3 linked regions of the Drosophila melanogaster genome follow. The protein of the gene in region 2 interacts with the protein of the main gene of each other region in a pairwise test. Each region holds a gene or a part of one and is shown on either strand. Other genes may lie near its edges.

Evidence for each region.
Region 1: the proteins of by (region 2) and CAP interact in a two-hybrid assay, tested with the Drosophila melanogaster proteins (one large-scale study listed by BioGRID).
Region 3: the proteins of by (region 2) and Sox15 interact in a two-hybrid assay, tested with the Drosophila melanogaster proteins (one large-scale study listed by BioGRID).

Annotation. Positions count from the first base shown.
Region 1 is NT_033778.4:10,275,855-10,283,177, reverse strand, and holds the start of CAP (CAP), read right to left. Parts: upstream 4,443-7,323; 5' UTR 3,838-4,442; coding exon 1-3,837.
Region 2 is NT_033777.3:9,526,764-9,536,565, reverse strand, and holds by (blistery), read left to right. Parts: upstream 1-3,554; 5' UTR 3,555-3,581; coding exon 3,582-5,744; 3' UTR 5,745-5,826; exon of another isoform or gene 5,827-7,607; 3' UTR 7,608-8,328; downstream 8,329-9,802.
Region 3 is NT_033778.4:14,207,095-14,214,445, reverse strand, and holds the start of Sox15 (Sox box protein 15), read left to right. Parts: upstream 1-2,032; 5' UTR 2,033-3,105; coding exon 3,106-3,158; intron 3,159-7,351.

The sequences.
Region 1 (7,323 bases), on a different chromosome or scaffold from region 2:
CGACGGCTGGCTATTTTTGGGCGCCACGTCTCCATCAATGAAAGTGTTACCGTTTAATTTCGTTGCTGACATAATTGGCGGCGGGGGAACGGGTGGTACGGGCTGGTCCTTGGGTGGATCACCCTGTTCCTTCTTCTCGTGACTTGAAGTGCTCACATCGTAGACTACCTGACCATTTTCCATTCGCTTCTTGGACTCGTAACTGCTCGTCTCGATATTGGAGTACCGCTTAGTTTGACTGACGGGCTGGTGGCTGGGGAACTCAATGTTGGAGAAGCGCTTGCGCTGCTCCTCGAAAATGTCGCCCTTGTGCTGGGGGAACATCCTGGCCAACTCACTCTCCATGCTGTCCAGCGTGGGAAACTTGGCGGTGTCACTGGACATGGTCTCTGTGGTCGCTTTATGGCTGGAGGTGGTGGTGCTGCTGCTCTGGCGTTGCTCTGCCGACTGCTGAGCACCAAGATCAGCTGCTCGCCTTGGTTTATTTTCAAGCGATGACGATTCGCATGCTGCGATCTTCTGCTTTTGTTCGCTTGCGTCATCTCTCTTGGCGTTTTCGTGAGCGGTCGCCTTGGCCGCCGTTTCGGCGCTCTTCACCGGTACCGGCGGCGGAGGGACAGGAGGCGCTGGGGGCGAGAGGCTCTTGCGCAACTCGCGCATCATGGCCGCCGTCTTGAGCATCTCACTCTGCTGCTGCTGGTGGTCTTGCTCGAGAACCTGGGCCTTGGACAACTCATGGTATCCCCGACGCTCCACGAACTTCTGGTGAGCATCGAGCAGGTCATCCGGTTGGGTTTGGTTATTTACCAAATCTCTCTGTCCGGGCGACAGGCAGACCAATAGCTTGGGATCGGACTGGGTCGGCAGACCCAGCCAGGCGGAGGAGGACTTGCTCTCATTGGCGTTTAACTGCAGCTCCTTGATGTGCGGCAATTGGGGCATGGGATAGGGCATCTTGTTCTGGGATTGGTCGCTTATATTCTGGGCCACACTGGCTAACTCCTCGAGCACCTGTTCGCCATAGGGCATGGAAGCCAACTGCTCGGTGCACAGCAGGCGCAGCTTCTTTATTGCTTCCGTATCAGTGTCGGCATCTGCATCTACATCCGCATTTGCATTCGCAACCGAATCTGCAACTGAAAGCTCTGGCTCTGATTGGGGAGTGGGTGGTGCGGGTGGTGATACGGGTTGCGGTACGGGTGGTGGTGCAGGCTTTTGTCTGAGTGGCGGTGTAGGTGGCTGAGCAGTGGGTGGCGGTGGGGGACTGGCCAGGTTGATGGCCGTGCATTGGCTGTGGGTGGTGCTGTCAGAGCAGTGGGAGTCGTTCGACTCCTGCCGCTTCAGCTGCAAGGAAGCTAGGTGGAACGAGGAAGACTCGGGACTGTAGGGTGGCACGGAAGCGGGAGGTGGGGGAACGGGCGGCGGCGACGGCGATCGCGGTAGTTCACCTTGCTCCTGTTCGCGCCGCGTCATCTCGATCAACTCGCGCACTTTGTCCATATTGCGAACGAACTCCTCGCGCGTGGCCGCTAGCGGCGATGCTGCCCCGAAACTAACAGTCGATCCACCAGATACATTTGTATCTTTTGCTAATTGTTCTCGATCGGCGGGAGTGGGCGTCGGCGTCGGCGTCGGCGTTGCGGCGCTCAGCAGCGAAGACTGCGAACTGGCGAGCGTCGGGTTGGCGTTAACAGGTGTGCTCTCGCGACTCTGCTCGCCCTCTCTCTCCGTCTCCGTTTCCGTTTCCGCTTCCGTCTCGCTCCTGTCTGCAGTAGTGGTACTAGTGCTGCTCATCTCATCATCCGGCCGAGCAATCAACCGACTGGCATCCGTATCCAAGTCTACGAGGGCTCTCTCCGCCAAGGCGGCAGCCTGCTCTAGTTCTAGTTCCATGAGGTCAGAGACGCTGCTGGAGGCCGAGGAGCTTAGGTAAACTAGCTCCGCATCTTCAGACTGTGGAGACAGGGCGCTCTGCAGTCGGGTGCAGCTCTCCAGATCGGTTGACTCCTCCAGCAGCTTGGTTTCGAGCTTAAGAGGCGACGGTGCCTCCTCCCTACGCTTGTGTCTGCGACTAAAGTCCAACTGACTCCTGGGAAAGGTCTCGTTTAGCTTGGGAGTGCGGATCCCCGTCTGATCGCTTCCGCCAGAGGAGGCGGTGGAGTTTCTCCATTCATTCTCCTCCAGGATGCTGTCCAGATAGCGGGGATTGAGCAACTGCGGCATGAAGTGCGATTCCAAAGCGTTCCGATACTGGGCACGTTTCTGGCGCACCTGCTCATGCTGCTCTACTCGGCTGCTGGACGGCACCTGCTGATCCGACGGCGATCGCTCCGGTCCCAAGACTACCGATCCCTCTGATTCCGAGTCTACTTCGCATACCAGCGGCGACTGCAGGGAATTGAATTCCCCGGAGCTGAAGTCGCTGTTCAGTTCCATTTCCTGGATTTGCACATTGCGCGAGAAGTTCGAAAACTGGCCACTTGACACGTTCTTCGGCGACTCCACCAAATAACGAGGTGGTGGAGATAGGGTTCCGGCCAGAGAACCGGTAGTGCTGCTAACCTCCTCGAAAGTGGGCTTGGCATTTTGCTCTTCGTCGGTGGTTTCCACGTGTATCTGGTGGATAATCACCTTGGAGGTGGGCTTCTGTGGAGGAGGCTGCTGGGAATAAGGATCTTCTGTTTGAAACTGAACTTTTATTGTTACTTCCTTTGGGGATTTCGGTGCAGTGTCATCATTTTGCTGTTGGGCGTTATTCAAAATGGGTTCCTCTTTCACATCATGATGCAGTTGCTGTGCGAGGCCCTCTTCTCTCTTCTTCGGATCTACAAGGATTTGTGGAACTGCAATATTTTGCTGATGCGCTTTAGTTGATTCCTGTAGGTGCTGTGCTTCATTTTGCTCCTGCTGCTGTGCATTTTGCTCAGTGTCTCTCTGTTTTTGATAACTTTGCACGGCAGCAACGTGTTGCTGATGTGCATTTTCCACAAATTCCATTGCCTTTTCGAGTTGCAACACATATTGCTCCGGTTCCTTTGAATCGTGTTGCTCTTGCTGTGGATTATTGTCAGTGGTCTCATCCTTTGAGTAGTCCACTTCATCATAAACTTGTTGATTCTCTTCAACTTCGACATGTTTCTGCTGTGCGTCCTCCGAAAGATGACTAGATTCAGGAAGTTCCTTTGGACTCGGTTCATTTTCCCGTTCTTCCTTAGTTTCAATCTCCTGCTGAGCTTCAGGTTTCTCCTTCTTTGAATCCTCGACCTCCATGTGCTGCTCCTTAGATTCCACGGCTTTGGGTGGCTCTGGAGATTGAGCTTTGCCATTGGCCGTGTCCTCTTCCCTCACAATTCGATGAACTATGACCTTGGCTTGCCGGGGGCTACCGGGTGGCCTTCTTATAATGGTGGGAGGTGGACGCACCTGCTCTTCAGATTTTCCATTAGACGCCTGCTTATCGGACTTTTCCTTGCGATGTTTTGAGTTTTTGGCACCCATTTCTGCGTCTGAATCTGCTTCTTTTTGGATGACTGTTGCTGGTTGCTCGAATATTTCTTCTTTTTTTTCGGTTTTCTCAAGAGTGTTCGTCACCTCTTCGCTGTTTTCCGTTGGCCCATTTGAAACGCTGCCAGAATTTCCATTATCATCTACGAAGGAAGAAGATTGCGCTACTGCGATCTGAGTTTGGAAATCCTGCTGCTCCTCCCGATCCTCCGCCCCTTCTGCCTGCTGCTGATGGTTTTCGTTTTGGTTTTGGCTCGGATTCTGATTTTGATTTTGGTTTCGATTGCGTTTGTTGCGATTGCGATTGCGATTACGATTGCGGTTATTGGGCATCGTCTACGGCACTTTCGCTCGATCTGAACTAATGCAGTTTTCCTTGTGTGTGAGATATATATGTGTTTTTGTGTGTAAGTGAGTACTTCGTGTTTCGTGTTTCTTAATCAGCCAGAATCTACAGTACAACTAAGTGTTGTTTCGTTTTTCGGTGTCGTTTATTTCTAGTTCCCTCTGTGTGTGTCACTCGTCGCCAGAAACTCAAACAGAACTGAACTGAGAACCAGAACCGAGAGCCGGCGGCATTCTGCTCGCGACGACAGCCGGCAAAATCGAAAAAAAAAAGAAAATAAAAAAATAAAACAGCGACGTCGCTGCCGCTGCCGGCGTCTACGCCGCCCCGCCCACCGCCCACCGCCTGGCACGCGTCCGAAATCGTTATGTTTTTAGGTTTATTTTTCGCCGCCGAGATCGCGCCTTTGTCTCCGATTGCCTCGATATTTTTTCGCCAAATTAAATTGCGTTTTGAATACTAAACTTTCGCTCTCGTTTTGGGGGTATGTTCGATTTGAGCAACGGGGACACGGGGTGAAAAGTTTTTTAAATATTTTTTAAGATCGCGCTTCCCGTTCCTCGTGGCGCTGGCGACCGACGGACAAGGAATGGGCCGTGGGCTTTCCACGATCTCAGCCGGGAGCTAGCTCCCCAGTCTCCCACTCACACACATTTTTACAGACAGCCCGATTCGGATGCACAGTGGCAAGTATTTGAAAATATACACACAAAAAGGAAAATCGGGGAATTCATAACGATGCTCATGTTCACAATACATACATGTACGTAGAAAACAGAAAGTCGTACGGGAGAGCGGGAGAGAAATGTGCAAAACCAAAACAGAATCAGAATCAGAATGCAGGGTATTCCAAAGACATCAAAATACCAAAGAGACCGAAAAAAAAAACAACAATATGACTTCTAGGTCAATGCAATTTTCACAAGCCAAACAAACTCATAAAATCCGAGATGAGCAGAAAAGAAACGCACGGCTCGAAAATATATTCGGCACATTCATAAATATTAGAAAATGTTTTTGGAACACGTACATAATTTGTTTGTGGAATTTAAGCTAACGAATATATGCTTTCGAAAATAAATTTTTTTAAATGTCACAAACACATTTTTGTCTTGAATTTCGGTTGATAAATGCTCAGGAATGAAAGATGTAAGACATTAAGAGAAAATAAAGAATTTAGAGGTCAAATGAAATCAGATAAACCGTTTTCCAACCACTTAAATTGTTTAATTTTTTAAGTGGTTGATCTAAAAAACTTTCGTGCAATATACCCAAAATGGCTCAATGCAGGGCATTAAGAAGAGAACTCAATACGGAAATAGTTTGCCACAGTTCGAGTTTGCTTATATGTATCTTCTGGCCGATGTGTGTGCTTGTGTATCTGATGAGTCTGCGCTGGCTGTGTATCTATATACAACTTATGGCATTTTAAAGATATTTTTCGTGCGTAATTTCTTTGCTTTTTGTGGTCACAAGTCTCTGTTTTCGGTGTACTCTTGAATAATTGAAGCAACATATATCCACGCGCATATATGTATGTATAGCTCTCCCATGTATCATCCCAGTGGGCCATGCGGTTAGTAGTATTCCGCTTTTATTTTTAAAGGTACTTAATGGCTTTCAATTTCTCTTGTTCTGTCTGGCCCACAGCCCCATCATCTCCATTAACTTCCTCCGACCAGAACCAATCCGAACTGAAGTATCTTCGCGGGTCTGTCAGGTGCCAGACGAACCAGACACGTGATGTGGTGGTTTTGGCCCGGGCATTATGCAATTTCTGCACAGTGTGACAGACACGGGTATACCAATTAGGGAATACTAAACGATCGCTTTCCCCTCCTCAGAAACCCACTCACTTAATGTGTATTCTCAATTGGTTTCGGTTTCCGTTTGGATTTCGTTTGGGCCCCACCAAGTTGCCTGAATCACTGACGTACGACGAACATCCAAGTAGCCGCTATCTATATCTGTGGATCCATTGTAGCGGCTTCTATTTTCAGTTTTCTTGCCCCGTAATATCAACAAATTTGAAATTGATTTCTACGCCTCGCCCAATTTGCTGTAGAACAGCACACATTTTAGTTATCTTTTCTGGGCTATCGCTGATAAATTTTGCATTTTTGATAAAGAACGTGAGTTGTGTGCGAAAAGTTTTGCTTTCAATGAAAGTGGTTTTTGTGGAATCAAATGCAGCTAGCAAGATAACTTCTTGGGAAATTACTAAAGATTGAACTGTGATATCTAAAGATGGATAGAGGGGTCATCAAAAGAAGCCTTTCATGAAGATTTGATTCGACAAATGCGCTTGGCAGAAGATCTGTGATTCATTTCTCGCTTGGGAATTTCTTTACAGAGTTTTTATCTTCCCTTAGATAAAACAATAAAGCGGATTGAGATATAAATTTAAGGGATATCTAGAGCATAGAGTTGAAGCGATCTCTATCTTTGTCGTAAAGTTTCAAAGCAAGTGATTTCTAGTGTTTTCAACTAATCTAATTATTTATTTTGAATTGGTATAATTACATTATGACTTGGAGTGACTTTCAAAGATTTTCTCTCCAACTTTTCCGTTTACTGTGATCTTTCGAATGTTTGCTTTTAGCCACACTTCCCATTCACTGAACATTCACATTTTGTGATTATTTGTATTCCGAGTGTTTGGCTGCCTGCCGATTTGTTGGCTTTGCACTTATGATGTTGGGGGTATTTGCGTATGGGTATGGGTTCGAGATACATTCTCTCGGCTACATAGATACACTCTTCTTTCTTTGTTGTTATTGCTGCTAATTAGCATAGATTTTTGAGAGTCTCGGTGCTGTCATGTTTACGCTTTGCTTATTTATTTGGGCAGCGCCGAGCGTTTTGTTCTCCCATAACGAGCTGAGCACATGTCTGTTTTCCGCTCTCCTCCTACTTATTGTTTGTTTGCCTTTTACACAACAAACACACAGATACACACGCACACACGCACACGTAGCGTATTAACACAAACAATGTGCTTAGTAAATGAGTTTATGAATCGCCCCACAAGAACATCGAACCCGCTCTGACGTCACGTCCTTACAATTTAATTCCCAATTAATTGCAAATCGTCGGCATCGGCGAAAAGGCGTTGCATCAAAGGCCGCGTACGTGAGCCAACTAAACTGCAAGTGCATAAAAAGAGACCGCCGCCAGAAGTCCGCCGACCCACTGTCTCCGGCGCACAGTGGGCCCCATTCTGTTATCTCGCCGGCACATTCTAAAACCGAATAATGATCTCAGTGCCGCGTCGCATCCAAGTGCCAAAGTTGTCGCGTAATTGCCAACGTTTACGCCAATAACACTGGTAGCACTGCTACTACACCAGCAGCTTCGACCTATTGCGTCAGTTTTCGCAGGTTTTCCCGGCCACATTTCCCCCCGCCGACTTTCCCTAGCCGAAGTTACACACACAGAGGCCGAGAAGTTGAGACGGCAAGCCAAACAAAAAG
Region 2 (9,802 bases):
TTGTGCTTTTCTAGAATTTTATTAGTAGGAACATCAACTGAATGATAAACGAAAACCCAAATAAAGTTTATTTTTTGTCACAATAACAGAACGTTATGATAAAAGCAAATAACTATATATAGAATATATTATATACATGAATTGAATACCTTTTATACGTGCACTGACATAATTACTTACGAGTATGAGTATATGTAAAAAAAATTCAATCAACCAAGCTAAGCGGAAAAGAAACATTATTTAATCTTATTATTTTGATCCAGTTTCGATACTTTCACGCTTTTCAGTTCGTTATATAGCCTCCGTCTATCCTGAACTAACGCACTAATACTACGTGTTTCCATCGAATAGTTTTTTTCCAACTCTCTTCGGGTTTTTTATTTTCCAGACTATTAACAAAAATCAAAAGCTTATCATAAAAATATATTTATAGTAACAAAACAAAAAAAAAAAAAAAACCAAGAAAAACACAAACAAAAAAAATTATAAAGTTTTGCTGTGATGTACGTTATATATATTTAATTACATAAAATGCAATAAAATTTAAAACATATAATGCATAATTCCAAATTATTACAACAACAACAAATAAATGAAAATATGAAAGAAGAATGATTATGAAATACAAAAACATTTTATGCATGAGAATTTCTCCAAAAAAACAAAAAAAGTAAAAAAAAAACAATATGTACGACATACTATAACATCTACACTTGTCTAGAATTTATGCAATTTTAAATGTGACTATTATTTTACATTTTTGTAGACAAGAACCGAGACACTCTTCTAGTAATTGTAAATCAGTTAACCATAGTATTAAACAAACGTTTTTCAGTGGCATTGTAACGGTGAGCGGGCGTTTTTAATGTTAATTGCATTAATTTCTATTTTCGGTTTTGTATTAACTCGCAAAATTTCAATAAAATTCAATGAACGTCAATAAAAAAAGTTATGTGTTTTTTTCCTTTGGTGCTTGAAAAACTAAAGCATTACGACCAATTATTTGGAACACAATAATTTGTGCATGTGCTAAATTATCAGCATCTGGAAGTTTCAGAACAATATTGGCCAGTATATTGCCAAACAAGTTTTAGAACAAAGCCAAAAATAAGACGCAAACTTCTGACAGGAAATGACACAACCCACATAGTTATAAATATATTTCAATGTTATTAAACAAAGGTAATGAATAATTCAACTTTAACTGAATGAGATCACAGATCTATATAGTTCACCAAGCCCATTCATGCGAGTGTAAGCCACATTACATGTACGCATTCGATCCAAAAGTTCGTTTCCGAGCCTTGGAAAGGATCCCCTTGAGATGCATATGACAGTCCAATCTCCAAACTTGATTAAGCGTTGGAAACTTTCGAGTGGGAAGCGAAACGACCACTTGATGCGGACATTCGCATCAATTGAATCGAATGCGTATGTTGCACACCCGAAAACCACACTCAAACTATCAGTAATAGTCCATGCGATAGCTTTCCATCGTTTTGGCCAAAATTAGATGGCCAGATGGGCCCGCAATCCCCGGTTGTCACAGCATATGGCTCTGATTGACATTACCGAAATTCCACATGACTTTGTTTCAACAGATTTGCGGCAGAAAGAGTTAACAACAACAGATGTTCGCAGCGAAAAGCTGCAAGACAAAAAGCGAAAAAAAAAATACGAAAAAGGTAAACGAGTTGCCAACTAGGGACGCAACTAAGGCCAACGAAAGAGAGCGGCGACAGGTCACCGGAGAGCGAAAGAGAGGCGGTGGGGTCTGCCCCACGCGAGTGAGCAAGCGAGAGAGCAACTTGTTTATTTGCCACCCACAACTGGCTGCTGAAAGAACAACAACAACAACAGCCATGGCAAGGAGCAGATGAAGAAGAAGATCACCTCTGCTGGCATTGACAGAGGATTTGTGCAGTTATTTCTCATACTTTATTTTTTTAAGCGCATATTTTCGCTGAATTTGATTTGTTTTCTTTATGCCATGTTGCTGTTGCTCCACTGACGTCACTTAACTGTTGGGGTTTCAATTATAATGCCTTAGCCATTGTTGTTATATTCGTTGTTGTTGTTTCGTTTGCCCACCACGACACTTTCTACAAGAAAATGTTGAGAAATCAAAAAAAGATGCGACAGCTTCTTCTCTATGGGTTCCACTGAAAGAAAAATGTAAATGGTGGAAAACATACTTCAGTTTCCACAGTAAGAGTAATAACTAATTAGGGTTTTCTAGAATAATCATCAAAATACATAAGTCTGAAAGACATTTAAATTGTTTACTGTAGTCTCTTATTAAATTTACCAATATTTTTTTCAAGTGTACGTTTGTGGCCTCTCGCTTGATGGTGTATGTGTAATAGCCACAAAAGTTCATTGGGAAAGTGCAACCTGAACCTGCTGGAACACAAGACCGCAATTGATTGATAAAGAAAACCCCATTTAAGTGGCATAAACAAAGTTCGTTTGTTTCACTCAGCGGAAAGCAAATGAAGCTCATTTAAAGAAAAATAGGCAATTTAATTGATGAAAACGCCAAGAATTCAATGGAAGAACGTGCCCGAAGTTACAGTGGGTGCCATCGGCGAATTACCATTTCAAAAAGCCCCCCAATTGAGGTTTCTTGTTACGTGAGAGAGACGGAGAGAGGTGTCCAAGAGGGAGCGATCTTCCACAGCTGTTATCAATTGCACTCCAATAGGATCGCTTCACACGTTGGTCTCCAATTGGGACTGCAATGTGCGGGTTCTTTGATCAAAATTCGCGTCCAACGTGCACGGATCGAACTTTACGGGGCTCCTAATCTGTATAGGCTTCGATTGCTTGTTTTGATTAGTTCGTGCGTTTGGCTGGGGCTCTCCTTCGTGTGTATTCGTCAATAAGTGGGGATGACATCACCGACGCTCCACTCTCTTCGACTCGCGTTCTCCACATCGCATCTCTCTCCCTGTCTCCGCTATGTGCACTCTCTCATGGAACGATCTCTCTTGGCATCCAACACCTTTTGGCGTGTACTTGTGAGCATTGGAGGCACAGTGGGCGTGGGATTATTAAATAAATACCCGATGACAGTTCTATTTATAAAGCTGTTCTTTCACTTTCGCAATATCTCTGGATTTGGTTGATACAGTTTTTGGTGTCACCAAAAATCGAAATTTACAAGTAACCAATATTGCAATTTTGTGAAATATATTGATAATGTAGTTTTAATACTTGTTATAAATGATTACAATTACTGTAAAGTTTTTTTCTATCGTACGATCGAACAAGGTCAAATGTTGCTCATACGCACTTTTGCCACAAATCTGTCAAAAATATTACCCATACGCCAGGTTGGTCGCACTATTAAAAGTTCATAATTAGAAATGTTTACCTAAAAGATGGGTTGACGAGGGCCTAGCCCACTGTGCCCACTCATGGCGAACCAGAAACTGACTTGAGGAGGTTGACTTGCTGCTTGACTTGCCACGCGAGAGAGAGGTAGAGAGAGAGAGCGGAACGCCAACGCCGACTCTACGGTTTGAGTTGTATCTTCTCGACCTTTTTTTTTGAATCAGTCTTTTGGAATTCGCGAAACAATGCGGACGCCGTACGAAGAAAGCGCTGCTGCCGCCGACCACAAATATCAATACCAATACACCGCGGCCAATAATAACAATAATTACTATAAAAACTATAATGTGAATGGCAATGGGCAGGCGAATGGAAATGGGAATCTAAGTGGAATTGGTAATGGAAATGGAATTGGAAACGGCAATGGATATGGAATACCTTATCACGCGCGCGAGAACTCGCTGCCATTTAGCTATGGCATAGCCAAAACTTCGACACCGTTGCGAAAAACTCCGACACCGACGCGAGTGGATAGTTTTCTAGACTTTGATTTCGGGCCAACGAATACGAATGTGAATTCGAATAGTTCTAGCAATAATGGCGGTACTGGCGATATGATAAAGCCACCAACACGTCTAACGAGCCCTTTGCTGGTGCGCAAAACGCTGGGCAATGCCGTTAGTCCCACCAGTTCGACCAATACCAACACCATAGCCAATACATACCACTACACGTCGAGCAGCGCAACGCCGACGCCGGTGAGAGATAATTTCGAGCAGCTGCTGCGGGAGCGACGCGAAAAGGTCTACAATGAATATAGGAATCTGGATAGGGAGTCGTCCGGGGAGCGGGCCAGAGTGGCACCCGCTCCGCCGCAGAGGCAATACTACCCGAGCGATGGCTATGGAATTGGGCTGAAGAACGATAGCAATGGAACCCTATACCGCAAGAGCCCCTCGTCTAATGGGAAATCAACGAAATACAACTACGATTTTGAGTTCAATCTGAATCTGGATGATGTTAGGCCCGAACCTACACCGTATACCACGAGGAATATTCACTTCGAGGATCTGCGGCTGGATCAGGATGTGCCAGATGGCGTGGTCAATCGGCGGACCATGGAACGCAATTATCACACAATTAACAGCTTGGAAACGACCCACAAACGCCAGCAGTTGGAGCCGTTGGAGCAACTGGGCGCCGTTTATGGCCAGAACCACATGGAGGAGACACTCACGCGCACTCGTCGCGATCTCTCCGCATCCACATCGACATCCAAGTCCACCTCGCCATTGCCGGCAATAGGAGTACCAGCTATAGCACCAGCTTCGCCCATTTATGCCACCAGTACGAAGAGAGTGAGCAACCCAAATACCAATGGCCAACAGCAGATGACGCCTAGTCCCACCAGTAGGCCAGAAACGCCCGCCTTTCCGGTCACGCCGCGCACGCCTTTTGGGGCATCATCATCATCATCTGCGTCTCTGGCGCCGACGACCCAGTTGCCCCCAGAGTCGATCTACCAAACAGGGCCACGTCGTGGCGTACCGCCTGCACTGCAGCCACTCGAGGTGTCCGCCGATTCCGTACAATTTGCCCGTAGTTCGTCCCAGTTCTGGTACAAACCAAATCTCACTCGCGAAGATGCCATCGCTCTGCTGGCCTCTGCCCAGCCGGGCACGTTCCTGGTCAGGGACTCCACCACGTACAAGGATTCCTATGGCCTGGTGGTGCGGGTGTCCCAACCGCCTCCCGGTTCACAGGAGCTGGTGCGTCACTTCCTCATCGAGCCCACGAAGGGGGGAGTGCATCTGAAGGGCTGCGATGACGAGCCGGTGTTCACTTCACTGTCCGCCCTCGTCTTCGAGCATTCCATAAGCCAGCTGGCGTTGCCATGTCTCCTCCGTCTGCCCGATCGGGATATAGTACCACCGGTGCGGGCCACAACCCCTGCCCAGCAGCATCTATTGGCCCACGGAGCAGCCACCAATGTGCTGTGGCTCTACTCCTGCGACACGGAATCGCTGACAGGAAACGAGGCCATCCGCAAGGCCATCCGCCAGATGTACGGTCAGCAACCCTTGCCGCAGCCCACGGAGGTGCACTTCAAGGTCTCCTCGCAGGGCATCACGCTCACGGACAATACGCGCAAGAAGTTCTTCCGGAAGCACTACAAGGCGGATGTTATCTCGCACTGTGCCATCGATCCGGAGAACAGGATGTGGACCAGTGAGGGCGAGTCTGACAAGAAGACCATCTTCGCCTTCGTGGCCAGGAGGTCGCACAGCTCCACGGACAACCAGTGCCATGTGTTCTGCGACCTGTCCGTCAGCCAGCCGGCGGCGGCGATTGTCTCGTTCGCCAATCGGACACTGCCCACCGAAAAGCTGCGCAACTACGTCCTGTAGGAGGGAGGGGGCGTGGCACGGGTCAACAGGTCAGCAGGCTGGATTCCACTTCCATCCGTGGAGTGGAATGGCGCACAAGCAGGTGAGACGCATGACGGGTGCAGTTTTGTTATGGGTCGTAAATTAGAGTACATTTTGGGTGCGGTTCGGCCTTGGGAGGCGAAATTGACAATTACAGTAGTCCTTCGAGAGGGTGAGCTTAGTCGCGAAATTTAAAACAAACAAATATTCTTTAGACTCCAAATTTCAAATTCTATATTCATTTTTCTAAAGGTCAAACAAAATTGGTCGTAAAAACGTTTTAAAAAGTACTTTCTAGAAACGATTTCTTTCCGGCATTTGTTTGTTTTAAGCATCGTATTTGTATTTGTCTGAAACAAATTGTTTCTCCGTGGTTTGGTTGAGACATTCTTATTTTTAGAGACTTTCCCTTGTTGTTTGTTTTAAAATAGATATTAGTTGTGCTTGCGGAACAATAATTTTGGCTATATCTCACTGCCCTTTTTCAAATTTTTGTGGGCCTCAAGCAATGTCCAGAGAAACTTTCAATATTTGCCTTGCCAAGCTGTCACTGTATCATCATCGTTCTGCGCTACAAATGGGAAACCTATTAAAAACGCTTCACTTTCTGGGGCCCTTCCGTTCGCCTGGGTTCGTCTTCAAATTGTTTACTTTACATAACGCCCTGGCTGTTTGTTTGTTTGTTTAGCGGTTTCCATATACTGCCGTAGCACACATATAGATATATATAGCTATATGTACATACATACATACGAATCCAAGAGCGCCATGTAGAAGCATTTGGCTAACATATCTTCTGGCTACACGTTTTTCGCAACGGAAGTTTCTGTCATGAGTCAGTTGCCTATAAATGATTGAGTTTCGAATTTAGAATCGAACAGAATCAAAGACATCCAACACATGCACATCCATTGCAGGGTCGCCACGTTCTGGAGGAGTGGCACCAGCCCAATTTTGGTATTTCTTTCGATTTGATTAATTCCCCCTGCTTCGTTCACGGTCATGTGCTGAGGTCGCCAGATAAGGCCATAGCGCTTAACTGTGCATTGCCATGCTATGGAGGCAACTTTTCATTAGTTGGCATTTGTGTATATATTCGCTATCAGGCCGCCAGGTGATCCACTATGCTATAATAATAGCGTCGAACAGTTGGCTGCAAATTGTGGGGCCTAAAATAAGATCTGCCCACAGAAGATATAGAGTTTATAGTTATTGCTGTTCTGCCCTGTTCAGCTTGGTTCTGTTGTTTATTTAGCTCTAAAGATACATCGTTTTTTGAATCACTTGATAAGAGCGAGAGACTCGTTGTTGATCTTGCTGGGAATTATTCTCCAACGATCGTTCGATTCCACCTTGAATTTTTTCGGAATTTTTTCACTTGAGCCTTAAAGCGGAATATGCAAATAAACAGACGGCAATAGAAATCGGTTTTCGGTCTCAATATAGCGCAAAAGTTGAAATAAATTCAGGCGAACCGAACCGGCGGGCGTCAATTGCGCATTTTAGAAAAACCGCATGCCGAACACTCAAAACATAATTCCAGGCACGTTTGCGTTTATTTTTTTCAATTATTCCACTACCGACGACGAGGTTCAGTAAAAAGTTACTGTAAATAAAACGGGAGGTTTAAAAATGGTCTAAAAGAGATTTAATATTTAAAAGAGCACTCCAACTTTTCATCAGACCCCCATTGTTTGCTCGATCAAATGATCTATTTGATCCGCAATTAAGCAATTATCCACGAGCGTGTACAATATAGATACAACCATATGTAGATACGATTGGTGGGGATTGGAATTTACGAACTTGTTTAAATCGGATTTCTTCTTTCATCTCTTGCAGGCCAGTGGAATCGGAATCATGCGGAATTATGCGGAGGAGGAGCCCAGTGCTGCAAGATGTACTAACTAATCACTTTACGAAATTGTGTCTTGCGATATAATGAGCTTAACTGCGAATATGTTAACAGGAATGATGTCAGCCGTAGTTTATTTAGACACGCACACACTCAGAAGTCGGCGATATTTATGGCGAAGCTAAAACATATGTACACATGGGTACTATCAACTTGAATTGACTAAATGCACAGTGGGACAAGTGGATGGCCGAGTTCGATAAGATTGGTAACTATTGGAAACGCCACTGATTCATATTTGTTTATATGCCCAAGTTGTAAACAAAGCCATGAAGATTGTGTTAAAATTTTTGGAAATTCCAACTGGCATTTCAAGGAATCTCGTACCACTGTGCTGGGTGGCGAATTGAAACTGATCACCGAAAGTTGACTGTTTATTAGCAAAAACAGTATGGATGTGTATATATGGGCGAGTTGTGTGTTTTTATATAGGGTGCGCTTGTCAGACAAACGGAATTAAACTAATCTACCACATAATTTTAAACCGATTAATGTTAGTTTAGAAAGTTGTTAAATAAAACCCAAAAGTACAAGCCAGAGAGCTTGTTCCCTAATTTATACCAGTAATATCTATATAAATATATGTATGTATATGCTTAAGCACTACTAATGCAGTCAATATAAATAAAGTGCAATGTTGTTAAACAGATTAGAAACCTTTTATTAATCTAACTCCTTAAACTGACTTGCGAAAAGCTCAGCGCCCAGCATCTGTTAATAATTTGTTATCTAACTAAAAATACAGCAGCGACTGCGTTCTAGATTTCAGGGCTGTTAATTTTATATATCAACAGACATCAGTGTTGTTGGGTCGGTTGGGTTGCTTTTGTTAAACAATTAATGGGTTCTGTACCCGCGGGCAATGGCAATATACAATATGCATTTGTATGAACACAATTGTTTAGTAATTTAATCTTATCGTTCGCCAGCGTCGGCGATCTCTATACGCTCAGCTAACCATAGGAAGTGTAAAGTATTTTTTGTACTCCTCCTGTCAGTCACCCTTGCATCCATTGGATTCGCATATTGCCGGAGATTCCAACAGATTCAAGATATAGGTAGTCTCCTGCCTCCTAATGGACGAGTGCAATTTGTGTTTTTTTTGTATTTTAAAAGGCAGCCCACCAGTCAAGTGTGCCAAGTGAAATGAAAACGCGTCCGTCGACTCGACCTTGAGATCAATTTGTGGCGGCGGCATGACGTCATCGCCTTTCGATGGTAGCACAACGACAGCTGCCCCACGATTTTAAAAACATTTCTTACAGAAATTTACAAATTAAATTTTAGGCTAATGCTCCCCAGCGAGATCTGTGCACCCACATTTTAATGATTTTGATTTCAGCATTTCATTTCATTTAATTTCTTGTTCTATTTTCAACGGCCTGCTAATTTCCTATATGTACATATGTATGTATTTATGTGTTCGCCTTGCCAGGCGCCCCAAAGAGACCGAAACCAGTTTGTCATGTTCTTTGCCTAAATTCGATAATTAATTGATCGCCGGAGAAACGAGAGTCGCTGAAAACGACGACAAACTCCGGTTGCATGAGCACCGCCCCGAGGTGTCGCCTTATCCAGACCAGATGATGCCCGGTGACGAAAGCAATATCCATCGAGATTCCAAGAGCCAAGACGCAGTGCAGGTTTTGTATCTTACATTTAATACATTTGGATTTGGTTGTGTGTACAAAAGTGAACATAAAATTAACGTTCGGTGTGTTGTTTTTAGATATCTACATAGCTACATACAATATCGTTCGTTTACATCATATTCAGTTAAACATAATAAATACACTTTAATAATATATACTCGCATACGTATATATATAACAAATAATACATCCAGATTTTGCAGGCCCGCATTTCGGACCTCCCGCAGGCAGATTCAACATTTCGCGTGAAAAACAGAATTTTGTGTGTACAAAAATACATAATAGGTCCCACTTTCGATTTCGTTTGGATCTAAACTGTTGGAATGCGAATTGATAGAATTTCCAGTTTCCTCAATCTTGTCGTGCTTCGATCTGTGGAAATCTTAAAGTTTGTCAATTTCATTCCGCATTGTGATGTCCATTTCGAAATCAAGAAAGGGGGGTATAATAAAAAGCTCAGAGAAAACTAT
Region 3 (7,351 bases), on a different chromosome or scaffold from region 2:
GCAGAGATTCGCTGGCGATAGCCGCTCAAGTGTCACACGCCCACATTTTTGGAGCAGTCGATGTCGATGGAGCGGCTATTTGCACATACGCCACGCCAATAAACTTGTACCCACCACCGAGGCACGCTTTGATCCGATCCTCATTCGCAATCTTTACCCCGCTTCCCATTCCTGTTCTCTCGGCCTTTAGTCTTTGGTCTTTGGGGTTTCAGACTTCAGTGCTCGGTCGCCAGTCTTCAGTCTCCAGTCTCCAGCCTTCTCGATCGGCACACGCTTGCGCTGCAGTTGCTCCCCCCCTTTTGGGATTTTCTTTCTTTTGGTCTGACCGATGCTCCGATGGTCGGAGGAACCTTTTGGCCGCTGCCCGATCCCCCGCCCCGCACCTGTGCACATGCATAAATCGACGAATCCACGACCACGAATCCGCGAAGACTTGGGCCTCGCATCGCCGGCGGCAATTATCGCGATGTGATAAACAAATATTTTGCATCTATGGCAAGAGGAAGCGAAGGCTTTCCCGGCATTCTGGCGCTTAATTATGAACTCCGGCTGGGCTTGGGGATGGAGGTAGCCCCATCCGAGTACGAGTTTATTATTATTAAATGCCCTGCGCGTGGCCGCATGCACTTTTACCTGCCAACGTACTTGACTCGTCTTCTGGGAGGTTCGTCGCTTTTCTACCTCCTCATCTTCATCTCGATTTTTTTGTGCCTTTGATTTTTTTTATTTTTTGGGCTTGGCTGTGCGGTTCGCTGGCAGCAGTTGTTGCAATATGCAATTTGGCTGCTTATCTCCAGTTGGATACCAATCAGCTTGGCCCCAAAAACTTTGGTGGGTGGAGAGTGAAATAAAAATTAAATATGGCTCTATTTGAATATTACAGCCGCTTTCAAGGCATTGGGCTCACTGGGCGGATACTTAATGGACAGTAAGATGGTATTAAGATAAGCATTTTCAACTGTGATCTATTCCATGATATATATTTTATTAAATATATAAGAACTTTGTTTTAATGTTAAGAGAGTTGGTATAGTTACTATTGAGTTGCTGATCAGAGAATGTATTAGTTTTTGTGTAGATTTATGAATATTGTATCTATGAGCTACTTTTTGATTTACATTCTGTTAAAATCTATTTGATAGTGAACAAGATAGTATGACTTACTACTAACAAATTGTTTTGTAAGTTTAAACTCTTTACAAACTGCCTGAAAATCCCTTTCATTCCCATTTAGTCACCTTTTGATTAATGACTTTCGTTGCTTTCCATTTGCTTAGAGATTGCCAATTTAAACATTTGCGAATCTTTCGCAAAATCTCTCTCTTTCTGAAAGACGGTGCCCCATTTGATCCAAATAACACCCTTTTCCCAGAGGTTCCGAACATTACGATATTTGCATACGCTGGCTTCCGTGTATGGGTGCTATCCCCCCATCCGCTAGTATATGCATGTGCACATACAGACGTACGGTTGTGTATATATGGACCCCAACGACATTGGGGGCCTCCACCAATTGAAACAAACCAAATGCAAAGTTGTCTCTCCCACAACAAACGGATCTCGGGGAACAGGTTTTACATTTCTGAAAGTGAGACCGAGAGATCGCGAGAGTCCGAAACAAAACGAAACGAACCGAACGAACGAACGAATGAATATTAAACAAGCTCTGTGTTTCATTAGATTCAAAAGAACTCGCCGCTGCTCTCGGTTCGGAGGCTATGGGTAAAGTATACTTGTCTATGGTACGGCATAGTCTGGGAGACAGGGCCAAGTCACCTGGGCTCGGACCAGAGCCACTTGCTCGTTCCGCATCGATGAACAGCTGCTGCTGCTGCCGCTGCCGCCACTCTCTGGCTGTTTCGATTCAAGACTGCGCGAAAGGTTCAGCTTATGGCTTTTCGCTTTTTGGCCTTATGCACGGGCTCTGAAGGCAGAGACACCTCAGTTCGGTTCACAATCTCCCAGCTCCCCAGCTGCCAGCCGCCAGCTCACAGTTCCCCCAGTTCGCGAGAGCGTCGATCGGTCGTCGAGTTCAGTTGGCCTGCGGTTCGTCATCAGCGTGGTTCATGCGGCTCCGACTTTCAGTTCGCCTTTAACTCTGACTCAAGCCCTGGCATCGGCGGAACTCGGTAGTGACTCTGGTGGCTCTCCATTGACATCGCCATCTGCGTCCCCGGGCTGTAATCATAAATATATATATATCTACATACAAACTGGCCCGCTGTACATAGGCCCAGTTAGTTAGTTTGTTAGTTAGTTAGTTAGTTACTTGCTTAGTAGTTGCTGTTGTGCCGTGAATTTTCATTTTCCCAAGAGCGCTATCCGCTGTTTGTATCTTGTGAAATGTCGAAGCCCTTGATTTTAGGCTACGGATACGTTCGTTAGTCAACCTTTAAACAGCTCGCTTTAGGGCCAAAAACTAATGAACAAGTGATTTTAAAGAACGTAGATCAATACCGGTAAAACTATGTAAAAAGTGACACAATCTGTTTAATAAAAAGTTTACATCGTTCCGGTGTTGAAAAGTATCTTTTCAACACCAAGTGCCAATCGAAAATCCAAATTTGAAGTGTGTATTTTTCAATATCTTCAAAATAATCACCAGTGAATAGTGAGATTCAAAAATATATTTACATCACTCGGTGATTGCGAAATTGTGGCCAAAATGTGGGTTAGGCTCTGAGCCACAAACAAAACAAAATCTGACAACAAATGGACGCAAATTCACACATGCCGTGGCACATAAATTTATGGTTGGAACTGTAACTGGGCAAAAATGCTCGGCCCGGCAGACATCAGTAGCAGTAGTAGTGGCACCACCATCACCACCAGCGAACCACCAACCGCCACCACCCACCAATCCACCCGAACCGCCGACAAAGGGAAAAACTAACGGAATAATGCAACATTAAGCAAAATGCTGCTGGCCCTGCTAAAGCAAAGCCAACAACAACAACAACAACACCAATTTCAACCTGCCACCACCGACGTCAGCAACAGCAAAAACAACAGCAACAACTACAACAACAGAAGCAACAACTGCAACTGCAACAACATCAACGTCACCGTCACCGTTACCACGAACATCGCCGTTGCCGTATAAAAATGGAACCCTCATATGATCACGAACATCCACATCATCTGCTAACAAATTACAAGTAATATTTACATTTTTCCCATGCTAAAATTTTTTTCTCGCTGTTTAATTATATCCAACCGAAGCGAAGATACATATCTTCAAGATAATAACCATAATGAAAAATGGAAAAGGCGCTCGTGTAGTGGTGAAGAAATTCTCTAGATCGTACATATATATATATATACAATAAATATGTATATACTTATATATATGGGGGCCCATGACTGCGACTTTTCAAGACTTAGTCACAATCACAGATACTAAGATACTAAGATACAAAGATACTAGCGGCGGGCACGACAGCGAGAAACACCGTCGGGGATGTCGAATGCACACTGTGGCAGTAAGCTACAACTATAAAGCACGGTTATATATGTATAAATATATATATATGGGGGTTATACAGTATATAGTATCTGGGAATTTGCTTAGATTTTCCTTGGTGTGGCCCCAGTTTTCAGACCCCGCAGCACTTGCACTTGTATTCGTATCCGCTTCTCGATTCTCTCCGTTTCCCTCGGCAAACGTAAACGTAAACGTAAATATGTAAATGGTCGACTGCGAATAACTTAAGAACCGTCTTCGGACGCGACTCGAAATTGGTCAAGTGGAAAGTAAACCAAGACGCCGGAGAAGTCGGCGGGGGTGGAGACCCTGGGAAAAAGCAGAGGCCAAGAACGCACAGGCGACGCACCGAGAAGAAGTCTTAACATTTGGTATATTTCGGCCAGAGGTCAGGCCATTATAAAGATTTGTATCCGATCTACACAGCTTGATAGATACGCATGAGGTTTTAATATCCATATATAAGTATATGACTGTATATAAGTATTTCCCCTTTATACGTATTAGCTAGCCATTTCAGCTGACTGACTTTCGTAGTTTCCGACGGGAAATTCCCGTCTACAAATTGGCTGGAATTATGAATGGAAATGAAGCCATGAAATTAAATTAAGTACAGATGAAAAGCTCTGATAAGTCCGCACACACTTTTCGTAAGAAATTCGAAACCGAAAATCACAATTAAGAATGTCTCATGGGCGAAAGCCTGTCGCATTTTTCGTCACATTTTCCAAATCTTCCTGCTTGGGATTGGCTCATCACGGGACGGGGCATTTCATTTCATTCAGTTTGATCTTTTATGGCTGCCCCATAAATCAAGTCAAGGCTGCGATCTACCTAAAGTTTGCTAACTTCGTTTTCAATCTAAATAGTTTTCAATATCAAATAAAATTCTATGGCCAATAAACAACCATCTGTATATGTGGATTTCCAATCAATGTTTGAAAATTAATTAAGGCTTTACCGTGACTAAGCTGGATTGGAAATGCATATATCCAATTGAAATTTACTTATTTCCTTTAGAACTTGTTTTTGATTGTCCGCCTTTTACACATTTCCCGGATACTAAAAGTGAATAGTATTTAAGAATTAATGTTTGCTTGATCATTTCTGGACTTTCCCTACTGCAACCAGGAACTTAAGTTTTCATTGACGTAAAAGGAGATTCCAATGGTTGTAACTTCTTGGAAGAGAGAGATAAATCTTTCGAAATGTTTATAAATCGTGTTTGGACAGCTTAATCGCCTAATTGTATTGATGAATCTGAAGAGTACACTCCTATTTTAAAATGAAATCCTATTTTAACTTGATATAACAGAATTTAATGTATTACAACTACATGCCATTCACGGCAATCAAACTATTATATTATGTGAGCAAAAATCCCTTTCCATTCAACAAAAAATCATATAAGAATTTCTTTAGGAATTTAAATATTCAATATCATCAAAAACAATACTGAATACTTTGTCAGATTTCTAGTGAAACCTTAGATGCGTGCTTAGTAACTGTAATATTGAAGTGGAAAAATAAAAACATTTACCATTAAACAGGATAATAGAGGAGATCGCCAAAGTGGTTAGACATATCCGATTCGACGTAACATCAATGATATGTCATGATTGGCATTAAACTTGGCAGATTACCAAGGAAATTAAATTATTGCTCATTCAACATTTCCCGAATGGCAGAAAAGTGATTTTCGGTACTTTCACTGTAGATTTAAAAACCTGATAAATACTTTTGGTCGATTTAAAAATACATGAGAAAAAATCCAAATCTAACTTGCCGTTTTAAACGCTTATAATTTGTTAACAAAATATTTATATAAAACGTTTTGCAATTATACTAAACTGACCTAAAGTTGGACTTCGCATTTTTAAAATTTCTTTAAAATTGTTTTATGGTTGTAGGATAATTTAAAAAAATGTAAAAGAATACAAATTTATTCACTAACATATACATAACAGAAGATCACAAAAAGCTTAATACACGGGAATACACCCGAAACTAAAACTAAAACTGATTTTAAAAGATATTCCTGCCCGCAAAATCGAACTTACTTCACATGAGCCACATAAATGTTTTCTGAGTAATTAATTTTAATAGCACTAATTAGTGGTCTAATAACATTTAAGGCAGTCAACACCCTGTAAAACGTCAACCCTAAAAAAAAATATAAGGGTTGGAACCTTTGAAAACACCCTGATTTAAGTCCGGTTAGTTGTTTTCGAATCCAGCCAACTAGCTAAGTACGGATCCTCCACATGCAATTACTCTACTTAGTGGTACGAGCATGCAGCACTGCCTCCATTTCCATGCAATCCATATAATTTAGTACCCCTCCACCTGCGAGGGTGTATACGTATAAGTATCTGTATGTGTATCTGTATCTGAGCACGTACATGTATCTGTTGGCTGCGTGTGCTGGTGTGCGTGCTAAAATCCATTAAATTTTTGTATCTTTTTTATGCTCCTAAAATCGCTTGTGTGAGAACTGGGTCTTCGTTGTTTCTTCGGCATGGCATGGGGGTGGGTGGTGCCTCAAGAAGTGGGGCTGGGGGGATCCACAGCGACGACAGCCGCAATAAACCTCATTAGCCGAACGAAAGCAGCAGCTTCGGCAACGTTCGGCCCTCGAAGATGGATGGTGATGATGATGATGACGCTACTCTCTTCGCTTGCTTCATTAGTTTAATTAGGTATGCCCAGGCCAGGTCACACATACATACACACATATATCGCCTCTATATAGAAGGCACAGGTATGGAGGTACCTATACCTTATAGCCCAATCCATTGTGCGTACCGATCTCATTCCCATTCGCAGCGAGGCAGGTAGCTCACCTTCATGTTCATGTTCATTAAAGCTAAGATGGCGGCTCTTTAGGCCCGGATGCTGGGATGTTTATGCTTATTGGTCAACAGCATCTACATGCGGCCATACAGATATATGCATATACGTACGATTATATAGGCGGCCATGCATATGTATGCGTAAATGGCCGATCCGATCGACCGACCGACCGACCGACAACTCATCGCGGCCCGCTGAAAGACCGGGCCTGCGTCGTTAAGTTATTCAAGTACATCACACCTGGGCCGCAGCTCCAGCTCCACAAGTTTATCCATGCTGGCATACACCAGCGCCCCTACCTATGCCCCAACCTCCAACTGGAACTGGGCCCAAGTCGTGCCAAGTCGTTTGGGCCAAACTCGTTTTCTTGGCCTGCGCTGAGCTCCACTGTGCACTGTGCTGTGCTGGGCCTCTGGAAATCTGTTTTGTATGCGGGGCGCCTGCAGCCGCAGCAGGCAGCCAATAGACTGCAAATGGAGCAAATGGAGAGCCACGGCAGATGCCTCTTCGCCAGGCGCTGTGGCCACACCCACCTCCAGGTCCCACCAGCCACCTCCTACTCCGCCACTTTATCCAGATTCAGCCTCGCCAGTCGAGCCGAGCCGGCTTTGACTGTGGCCGAAAACCAAAATGGCTTTTATTACCTTGCCGCACCGCTTGCATTTCTCCACAGGCTGCCAGGCTGCAAAACTGGCCCAATACGAGATCGCAGTTGAGGCGCCAAATGATTTGCCATTCTAGGCATGCATCTCTTTGGTGGGCAAATCTCGGATGCCTAACTATGCAATCGAGCATTAGATTGGATTCTAAGCGGAGCTCGCAATCAGATCTACATAAATTATATATCAAGGTTGTTCATTACCATTTTGCTGGGCAGAAGCTTTCTAAAATGTATATGAAGCTAATCGGATTACCAATGGGATTTATCTCAATTGGAACGCTGGCACTAGAGCCTAATCATGCATAATTGAAATTGGTATATAATTAAATTTAATAGGAAAATAACCATTTCCA